Danio rerio: one gene and its partners. The protein of the gene in region 1 purifies or fractionates together with the protein of each later gene. This does not show direct contact. Links are inferred from orthologs where the notes say so. Each region holds a gene or a part of one and is shown in the gene's direction. Other genes may lie near its edges. The genes, in order: ppme1, ppp2r2ab and ppp2r2d.

Region 1 (3,657 bases):
CAGAAATCTTCCTTTAATTAGCTGAAAAAAAAATAAGGAATATAGATTTTAAAATCATATTTCAACATCATTCTTATAATATAGCTAAATATACCAACTTTCAAATGTCACATTTTCCTATTGAATTCTTCAGGTGATAGTAAAGTAAAGAACCCGGACGACCTCTCTGCTGAAACAATGGCCAAGTGAGTACATACACCTTTTGAAAGTCTGCATAATAGAGATTTTATTTTTAGCATTTAATATAAATGTTACCTTTTCTTCAGGGATATTGGAAAAGTGGTGGAGGCACTTTATGGTGAAAACCCACCTCCAATCATGATTATTGGACACAGCATGGGCGGAGCTATAGCAGTTCACACAGCTGCAGCCAATCATGTGCCATCTCTGCTTGGTCTTTGTGTTATCGATGTAGTGGAAGGTACGTTTTTCTGCTATCAACAGTGTATGCTTGTCACTGATTTCCATTGAGTTTGAACATATGCGACTGTTGGTTATTTGTATGCATCTATTGATGTTTATTGCTCATTTTTCAGGCACAGCAATGGATGCCTTGAACAGCATGCAGAACTTTCTGAGAAGTCGACCAAAAACATTTAAATCAGTGGAGAATGCAATTGAATGGAGGTACACAGAGCTAAGCGTTTTGTTGACAATAATATCTAGGGGCATCTTTAAAAAATGTGTTTGGTTACCTCACAGATGTGTTTACTTCTTTATCTCTTAAATAATAATAATAATTAATTAAAATATTTTCACTATCACAGGGCGCCCGTGTCCCCACCAATATCCATCAACTATTGAAATGTCCCCACCATTCATGTTTTTCACTTAAAAAATCTTGCTGTCAATAATAACCTAGGCATGCAGAAAGGGTTAAATCTCTTAAAAGTGACGTCGTATCTTTAGTTTTATCTCAGGCATGCTTTGCACTCGCGCTGCAAGCGTACCGCGCCAAAGCCCAACCGAACAGCACTCTGGCACACCTCTTCCCAGGCCAGAAGCAGCCAACTGAATCGCGGCCGGGGCACGGTTCGATACACTCACACTTGTCAAACAAATCAGGAAATGCTCCCGCGTACGGTTCGGATAGCCTAGTGTGAGTACACCCTTAAATGCTATTTTACTTGGTATTAAATTTTGTATTTTTTTTGATTCTGCAATGTATAGTTGTATACTAAAACTTGCTAGGACTTAATCTGCGAATATTGACATGCTGTGTAGTTTATGAAATCGATAATTTCCTGTTAGATTTGACATCACGTTGCCTTGGTTACTGCAGTAACCAAGGCAACACCATTATTCCTGCTGTTCTATCCGCTTAAGTTGTGATGTATTGGTGATATATAAAATACTGTTTACGGGTTTAAGCCGCTACTCATTTGAATCTAAAAAATAATAATTTAGGACCACTTTTGAGTCATGTCACACATTAAAGTGAACTTAATCGAATATCATGGTGTAGACAAAAGTCTTTAGACTTGCTGCATCACAGACGTTAATATTTTAACAATTGTTAAAAAATGAATAATTTTCTGGCCATCTGATATTAGGCATGGATATTGCGATCATGATTTTTGAAAGTATTACATTGCTTTGTAAACATTCATTATTATCATTTGTCGAGTCTTCCCATACAGTTTGATATTGTGCTTGGACCCGGAAGCTGCTTTGCTTGACGTCACACTTAACAATCGGATAGGCGCCACCTGCTGGATTAGCATTTATATTCATTTATTCATTCGTTCATTTTTTTCTCAGTCCCTTTATTCATCAGGGATCGCCACAGTGGAATGAACCACCAATTTTTTCATCATATGTTTTACACAGCGGATGCCCTTTCACCTGCAATACAGTACTGGGAATCATTCATATACACTCATTCACACACATACACTATGCCCAATTTAGTTTATTTAATTTACCTATAGCGCATGTGTTTGGACTGTTGGGGAAACCGGAGCACCCGGAGTATGCCCACGACAACATAGGAAAAACATGCACACACAACTCAACATAGATTTCTTACAATCAGTACTTAGTAAATATGCTGTAAGTTAAAATGTCTCTAATATTACAGGTAACACCTAAAGTAGCAATGAGGTCTTTAAATTCAATTCCATCTTTATTTGTATAGCACTTTTACAATGTAGACTGTGTCAAAGCAGCTTCACATAGAAGATCATAGTGAATTGAAACAGAGTATAAGTTCAGTTCAGTTCAGTTTAGGTCAGTTCAGTTCATTGTGTTTTAATATTCACTGCTGAGAGTCCAAACACTAAATAGCAAATCCATCGATGCGTAGCTCTACAAGTCTACAAGTTTAAATGTATTGGACGGAGTTTTAAAAAAGGTCTTAAGAACTATTGAATTTCTCTCTCCAATTCCTGTATATAGCCTCCATAAGTAAATCACAAGATCAGTAATTGTATCCATACAAAATTACCAAGCTAATCAGCATGCTTTTTTTTCATTAAATAATTTATGAATGCTTGCAGAACATCAGAAATATTGTAATGTACGTTAACTTAATACTATAAGTAATCAATTTGTTAAAACTTTAACGCACAGGTGTCAAACTCGGTTCCAAAAGGGCCGCAGCTCTGCACAGCTTAGTTCCAACCCTAATTAAACACACCTGATCAAACTAATTGAGTCCTTCAGGCTTGTTTGAATCCTACAGGTAAGTGTGTTGGAGCAGGGTTGGAACTAAACTGTTCAGGGCTTCGGCCCTCCAGGAATTGAGTTTGACACCCCTTCGTTTAACGCATCCACTTTGTTCAACTTTAAGCTGGAACAATTAATCACTGAAATCACTGTCATTTTTTTGCAGCCATAAAATTCATTAATTAATTTTCTTTCAGCTTAGTCCTTTTATTTATCAGGCATCGCCACAGCGGAATGAACCGCCAAGCTGTAAAATTCAAATAATTCAATTAAGACCAAAATCTATCTATATCTCTAAATGTATATATTTTTTCATTTTAACAGTGTGAAAAGTGGCCAGATCAGGAATGTTGAATCTGCACGAGTGTCTATGGTTGGACAGGTGAAAAAGTAAGTCTGCCACCCTCTTAGTTTACCTAAAGCAACCAACACAAGGACATGCAGAAGTGTTTGACTGTTGTGCATATATTACATGATCGCACATGTTTGGATGTATAGATGCGAGGAGCCACTGAGTAGTCCAGGGGTTTCCAAGAGCATCAGTGAAGGCATCATTGAAGAAGAAGAGGAGGATGAAGAAGGAGGAGAATCCAACCATAAAAGGAAGAAAGAAGATGACCAAGAGGTGATGCTGACAGTACAGTACAGTACAGTACTGTTTAAAAGCTTGATGTCATTTACATTTATTTAGTTTGAAAGACATATCAGCAAAGTTTGAAAGACATAATCAGCAAAGACATATTAAATTGTTCAAAGGTGGAAGTAAATACATTGACTAGCTTGTATCTTTTTAATACAAAATTCCTTACATTTTCACACACATTTTAAGGAGAACAACTTTTTTATGTACAGATGTTTGTTGATTTTGTTTCATGTGGCAGATAAAGAAGGAATCTCTGTACACCTGGCGTATTGAACTCTCAAAGACAGAGAAATACTGGGAGGGCTGGTTTAAAGGACTGTCTTCCCTCTTTCTCAGCTGTTCTGTGC
Region 2 (3,757 bases), on another chromosome or scaffold:
TTCTATCTTTAAAAACAAATGACTGAGGAAATGTGCAAAAAATGTTTTAGTGTTAACCGTTATTCAAAACAGATATTAAACAAGCTTGTTTTATGTTGTAGAATATTTGATGCTGTTGGAGTAAATTTTTTTCATATCCTCATCTTTTTTTTTTATTGACTTCAATAACAAACATACAAAATTCAATTTACACAGAAAAACACAATGACAATAACAGATCAGGATAAATAATATAAACTTTAAAAATTAAATAAAAAGATTTCATATCCTCATCTTTTTTTTATTGAATACAAGAATAATAACATCACTGCATTGAAGAAAAAATACAATAACAAAAAATAAGAAAGAAGACAGAGAGAAAAATTAAAAATACACAGCCTCAAACATTAACAAAAAAGATTGTCATAAGCTTTAAGAAACTTATTATTTTTCTTATTATTAATAAGCTTAAGAGATTCAATATATACGAAATTTCAACAAGGAAAGTATTAAAAACAGGTATTGTTTTTAGAAACTTATTTTTGTGTATAAAAAATTTACAGTGTAACACAAAAAAATTTACAATAAGATCGAGAGCATGACCATCATCCGAGAAATACAGAAATATATCTTTTATAGACAAATTTAAATCATGTTTAAAAATGGATGATAAATAAAAAGTAATGTCATTTTAAAGACGTTTAATGTGAGTGCAACTATAGAATAAGTGAAATAAAGTCTCTTCATGTGTATTGCAGAAAGTACACAAATTAGATATATCAAAATAATTCGCAATTTGGGAATTTGTAGGATAAACATTATGCAAGATCTTAAAATGTATCTCTCTTATTTTGTTGGATATGCTGAATTTTTCAGGTAATAACCATGCTCTCTTCCATTGAATGCAGTCAGAGAAGTTGGTCCAAAAAAAATTACATCTTGGGGTGGTATATACAGAGTAATGTAACAATCGTCTGACATGTCTGTTGTCACATTTTTTATCAAAAAAAGACACTCCATCCAAAAAAGTTTAGGCATAATTGTTTCCCTCTTCTTAAAGTAAAAAAAAAAAAAAGTTTTAAATAAATGCACATAACTTTGTGACAAACGCATTTCATATCCTCATCTGCCCACACAAGTTCAGTGGCGTTACATCATTACTCCAGCACCCACTGATGAATGGCCAGCGCCGATTACGTCATGACAGGGCGGGGTTGCGCCATTTTGAATGTTGAGAGGAGTGTAGGAGGAGAAAGCTGAGGAGGAAAGACAGAACATTTCAACATTTAATAGCGAACTGAAGGGCTACCGACAAAAAATAGCGTCTTTCCGACATTCCTCTTCATGCATTTGCAGAGGAGCTGCTTGCAATAAAATAAACCCTGCAAAGTTCTCTGGACAGTTCTGATAGCAAAAACTAGCAGCAGCAGCAGTAAGCCAAGGTAAGAGCCGGAAGTGACGCAACAGCGGACCCGAAAGCGTGATTCCCTTTCAAAATACAAGTACAAGAAAAGGATTTTAAAGTAAGTTTAATATAAACATTGTATAAAATGTATTCATTCATCAGTTTTCATTCAGCTTAGTCTCTTATTTATCAGAGGTTGCCACAGAGAAATGAACCGCCAATTATTCCACCATATGTTTACGCAATGGATGTTCTACCAGCCACAACCCAGTACTGGGAAAATTGTTTAAAACCTGAAATGATTTTTATTATAGTATTGATTTAAACTATTATGTAGTATTTTACAATTTTATTGTAGTAACCGAAAGATTAATGACATATGTTACTTTTTGTTATGTAATAAAGGATATATATATTTTTTTACATTGTTTTTTATATGTAATAAAGCATATTACAATTTTTGCATATCATTTAAATATTTTTATATTCACTTCAGTTTAAAGATATCAGTGTAATACATAACTTTGTAAATAGACAATACATTTTAGTTATTTATTATGTTTGATATTTGCATATTTGCATTTCCTCCCAAATCAAAAGGAACATTGAATGTTGGCACGTCATGTATTTTTAGCATCATATTAAATCATATGGGCATGATTCCAATGTACTCTAGTAAATAAAGCTGCATACCAAAGATGCCTGTCATATGAAGCTCTTGGCATTGTTTACCTTCACTATGAATATTTCAGTGTTATTGACCACTAATAAGTTGGTTTGATAAATTATGCACAAATGGTTAGTATTTATCAGTCCTGACAAAAGCAGAACCAATGTTAAACAAAGTGTATTAATAGAGATTTTCATAATAACTCATAAAACAGGGAAAACCTTACTGTCAGCTATATCTTTTTATTTGGGTTACCTGCATGAATAACTAGAAATATTGTAATATATGCTTTCGCCCAATGCTTGTTCGCCCCAAAATTGAGTATTTACTCTCCCTCGTGTTTTTCCAAACCTATTTTAGTTTCTTTCTATTGTTGAACACAAAAGAGAATATTTTATAGAGAGCTGACAACCGGTAACCATTGACTTCCATAGTAGTAAATGCAAATACTATGGAGGTCAATGGTTACAGGTTTCCAAAATCATTTGTGCATAGTGCTCAACAGATTATAGAAATGCAAAGGTTTGAAATAAATAAATGGTGAATTAACGATGACAGAATTAGCATTTTTGGGTGAACTATACCTTTAACAAATCTGTTTGCTTTTTATTTCTTGTTTCCCTTTTTATCCAGAAGTATCAGAAGCACTTTTATTTTGAAAAACAGCATTTCCGGCGACTCTCTTGGAAATTTTGCTCTGGTCGCCTTCACACTGCTTATCAAGACTAGGGTCCGACATCGCCACTCTCGCCATGGCAGGTAACTCGACAAGTTTATGAGCTGCTTGAGCAGAGATTGTTCCAATTCACCGTGAACTAGGGAATCGCTTCTGTTTGTTTCAATGAGCGCAGCGGCTGCACTGGAGCCACCATCGCGTTCCTGCTCTACTGACAGTAGCCTAGCCGCCTAGCAGCCTCGTTCCCTCCAGTTAGCCAGTAAATCGACAAAACTGATTTCCATCTTATGTTATTTATAGTGCAAAGATCATTTGAGGATGTTTTAAGCAATACTGTTGTTTTTTTCTGTGATAGAGGTGTGTTTCAGCGATGAGCTTCATTTGAGTGGAAACATGTCTGCTGCTAACCCTTTCATCATTTGTTAGCGGGATGCGCGGTCAGGCTGCGGGATTTTTTATATCTCGGTTGTGTAAATGAGTAGGCACTGAGTAACACGTCCGGTTTCTTTTCTGTTTGTGTGTATTATTTGGTGTGGTGTATAAATATATTGGAAATGCGGGCCTCTTTAAATCTCCTCCATTGAACTGGAGAACTTTAACCGGCATCTGCAGAGTCATGTGCAGTCAAACTGCCGCGCGCTTCGCAGAGAGACTGGAAGCCGCTAAAAGCGGCAGGATCCGCAGGGATGACAAAGACGAACGCCTTTTATTCATTAAACGCTGTTATTCAGACTTACCCGATAAGTAACGTAGAAATCTTACAGGTCAGAGTCGTGACTGTGAGGAGTGGGAGGGTTCAGTTTTATGGCAGTGATGGAATATAGGCGTCCTCCACAAAACATTTTATTACCGCTTATAGCAAGGGTGCCCAAACTTTTTCTCATGAAGGAAAACCAAATTGATTGAGGCTAACTGTTATTGGGCCGAAGGCAAATATAGGTGGGGTAATTTACCATGGGTAATTTTTTAAATTTATTTAATAATGTTTAAAATTTACTAGAAAACATTTATGTTAACTACAGTATTT
Region 3 (3,657 bases), on another chromosome or scaffold:
CAGCGGACATTATCTCAACCGTCGAATTTAACTATTCTGGGGAGTTACTAGCCACAGGAGACAAAGGGGGAAGAGTCGTCATATTTCAGCGAGAACAGGAGGTAATGCAACTCAAAGACTTTATTTTTAATCTTATTAGTAAGTGTGACTCAATCAGAGTGCTATTATATGCGTGTGTGTCCATGTTTATGTCCACAGAGTAAAAACCGCCCGCTCTCAAGAGGCGAATACAACGTGTACAGCACTTTTCAGAGTCACGAGCCCGAGTTTGATTACTTGAAAAGTTTAGAAATCGAGGAGAAGATCAATAAAATCAGATGGCTGCCGCAACAGAACGCTGCGCACTTTCTACTGTCCACAAACGGTAAATGCTGCAAGTTAAACGTTTGATTTCATTATGCACTACAGTACAATTCAAAAGTCTGGCATCAGTGTTTTTGCTGTCAGAAATTCATAATTTATTCAATAAAAAAAGAGTGGGGGGGGGGGGGGGTGGATTGGGGCTGCCATTATTGCTCCTCCATCATAGCTCCTCTCGCGATCTGTTCCCTTGCTTATTCACTCCCGTCACTATGAATTCCTGGTATTTTAATTAATTTTGGGGGATCACTGAGCCGGTATGAATTTGCGGAAGACACGCAGAGCTTTCGGGAGAGGTCATAACTATTCAATTCAATTCAGCTTTACTTGTATAACGCTTTTACAATGTAGATTTTGTCAAAGCAGCTTCACATAAATGGTCATAGTAACTGGAACAGTGTGGTTCAGGTTTTAGTGTTTAAGTTCAGTTCAGTTCAGTTTAGCTCAGTTCAGTGTGATTTAATCGTTACTGAGAGTTCAAACACTGAAGAGCAAATTCATTGATGCGTAGCTCTACCAATCCTGAACCATGCGAGGCAGTGGCGACAGCGGAGAGGGAAAAAAAACTTCACCTGATGGGAGTGAAGAAAAAAAACCTTGAGAGAACCAGACTCAGTTGGGCAAGACCATTTTAATTTCACCGCTGGCCAAAAGTCTTGTGCAGAGCTTCATTCGCCGTGGTGGAGGCTGGAAGATGGCCTCAGCGAAGACTCGTCTGTCCCTGGAGCGTTGCTGGAATCAGACTCATGTTCTCCACTCCCCACGACCATCAGCACAGCAGCAGCTCAGGATATGGCCTGGTCCCGGATATGGAATCCTTGGGATCAAGGATTAAACTAGACACTAGATAGAGGAGATAGCTCCGCTCGCATCACAGCATGGGATGTGCGCAACGCATCTGAAGAGCAGAGAGGGATGCGGGATGTATTTGAGGACTTGGCGGGAGATGTGCAATTTTCGTGAGATTATCATTCGTTTGTGGCCATCCGGGAGTCTCTATGCCAGGGGTCACCAATCTCGGTCCTGGAGGGCCGGTGTCCCTGCAGGGTTTAGTTCCAACTTTTCTCAACACACCTGCCTGAATGCTTCAAGTATACCTGGTAAGACCTTGATTAGCTCGTTCAGGTGTGTTTGATTAGGGTTGGAGCTAAAATATGCAGGTCCCGTTTTTTTAAAAGGTATAATCCGGATCAAATTGATCTATTTAGTAATCCTTGTTTTGCGATCCGTGATCACGTAATCCAGCTTACTTTTTAAGCCAGTTTTTCAAAGCAACATTAGATTGGATCAATCTGATCCGGATAGGAACTTTTCAGGATCACTAAATCTGGATAACCAGTGCTCAATCACAATGTAGATGGATAGATAGGCCTATGTACAGTAAAAAGCAACAAGTAGAATAGCCAGTGTGGGGCCAATATAACTTATTAATATAACTATATTTTTATTTGAAATAAAAACACACACATAAAACAATAAAAACCCCACCCCATCCTCTTCCAGCAATCAACTCATCTGAGACCTGCAACACAAACACTGTACATTGAGGTATTTATAATGTTTCAAATATAGATGTAAATAAAAAAAAAAGACTTAATTTCAAAAACTCCACAATAAGTTCAGTCTTCCTCATCTGATGTGGAGATCAGCTTGTCTGAGCAAAGCCTTTAGGAGGCAGATCTCAAGTCTGGCCTTGGTTTGCTGCAGTTTGGTCAGAGTCGGTTGTTCCTTTGCCAGATGAAGTTGTGCTTCTGCCCTTTCAGTCTCTTTTTGCAATTGTTGAAAGATTTCAAAAATCATTGATTGCCATTCTTTGCATTTTTTTGGTTGTTCTGTAATTATTGCATGCATCACTAATAAATATTCTAAACACAAAAATATTTTCTATTGTGATGAATATATTTATATTAATTAGTAACGGAATAAAAATGATTGTTTTTGGTCAATTTTGACAGCTGTTTGGGGGATTGTTTTATGAGGCCAAGCTATTTCTACTTTTCTGTAGGCCTATACTGAAAGGCTGAGTATGTTAAAGCCAATAATTACTATAGCCTGACAGATGAACAAATAAAATTAAAACCTTATGAATAAATAGTATACATCTCGTAAGATACTGCATGATCCAAAAATAATATTATTTAATACATTTAAGTTTTCATTACATTTTGGGCATGAAATCCACACTAAATCCACCCTCCTGATGGGATCAGTTTAATCCAGGTTTTTTGGATCAAAGTGATCCAAATCCTACAAAAAAGGTCTGAAAACCCCAAAGTAAAGGTTTGATCCGGATCCAAACCAAGACTGGATTACCAGATCTAATCCGATTAGGTAATCTGTTTTTTCTTTTGAAAAACCCATTTTCAAGATTTGATCCAATCCCTTATCCAAAATCCTAGTGGATTACTTTTGGAAAAACCGGGCCCAGGACACCGGCCCTCCAGGAACAAGTTTGGTAACCACTGCTCTATGCATTTGCTGGAGACATTTAGCTGCAGTGACTCGAGCGTAGAACTGAAATGACATGCTGTTGTTTAAATGAGATATTACATACGGCTGTTTAGCTTGTTTATTAAAAATAGCTGTAATCTGGCGCTATATATGAAATACAATTAATGTGAATTTAACCCCTTCAGACCTGAATTATGTTCCAAATTTCAGAAAAATGGGATGTCATGTGATGTCCATTGAAATGGACGCAGGGTCTGAAGGGGTTAAGGGGGCGGGGACAGCCGTTGGGAGGGCGGGGTGCCCCTCTTATGTAATGATAGGGAAAACATTGCGTTGTATAACCATCGTTTGTTTTGTTGTCAATTGAGAAAAAATATTGCTTAAGAAGGCTAATAATATTGGCCTTTAAAATGCTTTTATTCTTGCCGAAATAAAACAAGACTTTTACTAGAAAACAATTGTATGGGAACTACAGTGAAAACATCTCTTGCTCTGTTAAACCTAATTTGTGAAACATTTAAAAGATAATAATATACAGGAGGGCGCATAATTTTGACTTCTACTGTACATATTTTTTTCTCAGGTTAATGAAAAATGTGAGCTCCTAGGTTTTAAATCTGCAATTTTTTTTCCTGTAACTGATGTTTGCATTTTTGTGTCCCTTTCAAAAAGACAAAACCATCAAATTATGGAAGATCAGCGAAAGGGATAAACGAGCAGAAGGATACAACCTTAAAGACGAGGACGGACGACTGCGAGATCCGTTTCGAATCACATCACTACGGGTTAGTCTGTCTCTCTTCTCCTGCAGCAGCACTGGTTTCTAGTTAAATATTGAATGAGATT

Evidence for each region.
Region 2: the proteins of ppme1 (region 1) and ppp2r2ab purify together in Homo sapiens (affinity purification with mass spectrometry; 3 studies listed by BioGRID and IntAct, with this or other methods). This does not show direct contact. The link is inferred for Danio rerio from reciprocal best matches to the Homo sapiens genes PPME1 and PPP2R2A.
Region 3: the proteins of ppme1 (region 1) and ppp2r2d purify together in Homo sapiens (affinity purification with mass spectrometry; 4 studies listed by BioGRID and IntAct, counting the BioPlex papers as one, with this or other methods). This does not show direct contact. The link is inferred for Danio rerio from reciprocal best matches to the Homo sapiens genes PPME1 and PPP2R2D.

The regions. Positions count from the first base shown.
Region 1 is NC_133196.1:26,824,670-26,828,326, reverse strand, and holds part of ppme1 (protein phosphatase methylesterase 1), read left to right. Parts: intron 1-133; coding exon 134-185; intron 186-266; coding exon 267-421; intron 422-536; coding exon 537-627; intron 628-2,991; coding exon 2,992-3,057; intron 3,058-3,165; coding exon 3,166-3,292; intron 3,293-3,548; coding exon 3,549-3,657. UniProt on the Homo sapiens protein: Demethylates proteins that have been reversibly carboxymethylated. Demethylates PPP2CB (in vitro) and PPP2CA. Binding to PPP2CA displaces the manganese ion and inactivates the enzyme.
Region 2 is NC_133185.1:23,747,495-23,751,251, forward strand, and holds the start of ppp2r2ab (serine/threonine-protein phosphatase 2A 55 kDa regulatory subunit B alpha isoform), read left to right. Parts: upstream 1-1,216; 5' UTR 1,217-1,502; intron 1,503-2,687; 5' UTR 2,688-2,806; coding exon 2,807-2,813; intron 2,814-3,757. UniProt on the Homo sapiens protein: Substrate-recognition subunit of protein phosphatase 2A (PP2A) that plays a key role in cell cycle by controlling mitosis entry and exit. Involved in chromosome clustering during late mitosis by mediating dephosphorylation of MKI67.
Region 3 is NC_133187.1:43,811,937-43,815,593, reverse strand, and holds part of ppp2r2d (serine/threonine-protein phosphatase 2A 55 kDa regulatory subunit B delta isoform), read left to right. Parts: intron 1-3; coding exon 4-101; intron 102-198; coding exon 199-364; intron 365-3,483; coding exon 3,484-3,596; intron 3,597-3,657. UniProt on the Homo sapiens protein: Substrate-recognition subunit of protein phosphatase 2A (PP2A) that plays a key role in cell cycle by controlling mitosis entry and exit. Involved in chromosome clustering during late mitosis by mediating dephosphorylation of MKI67.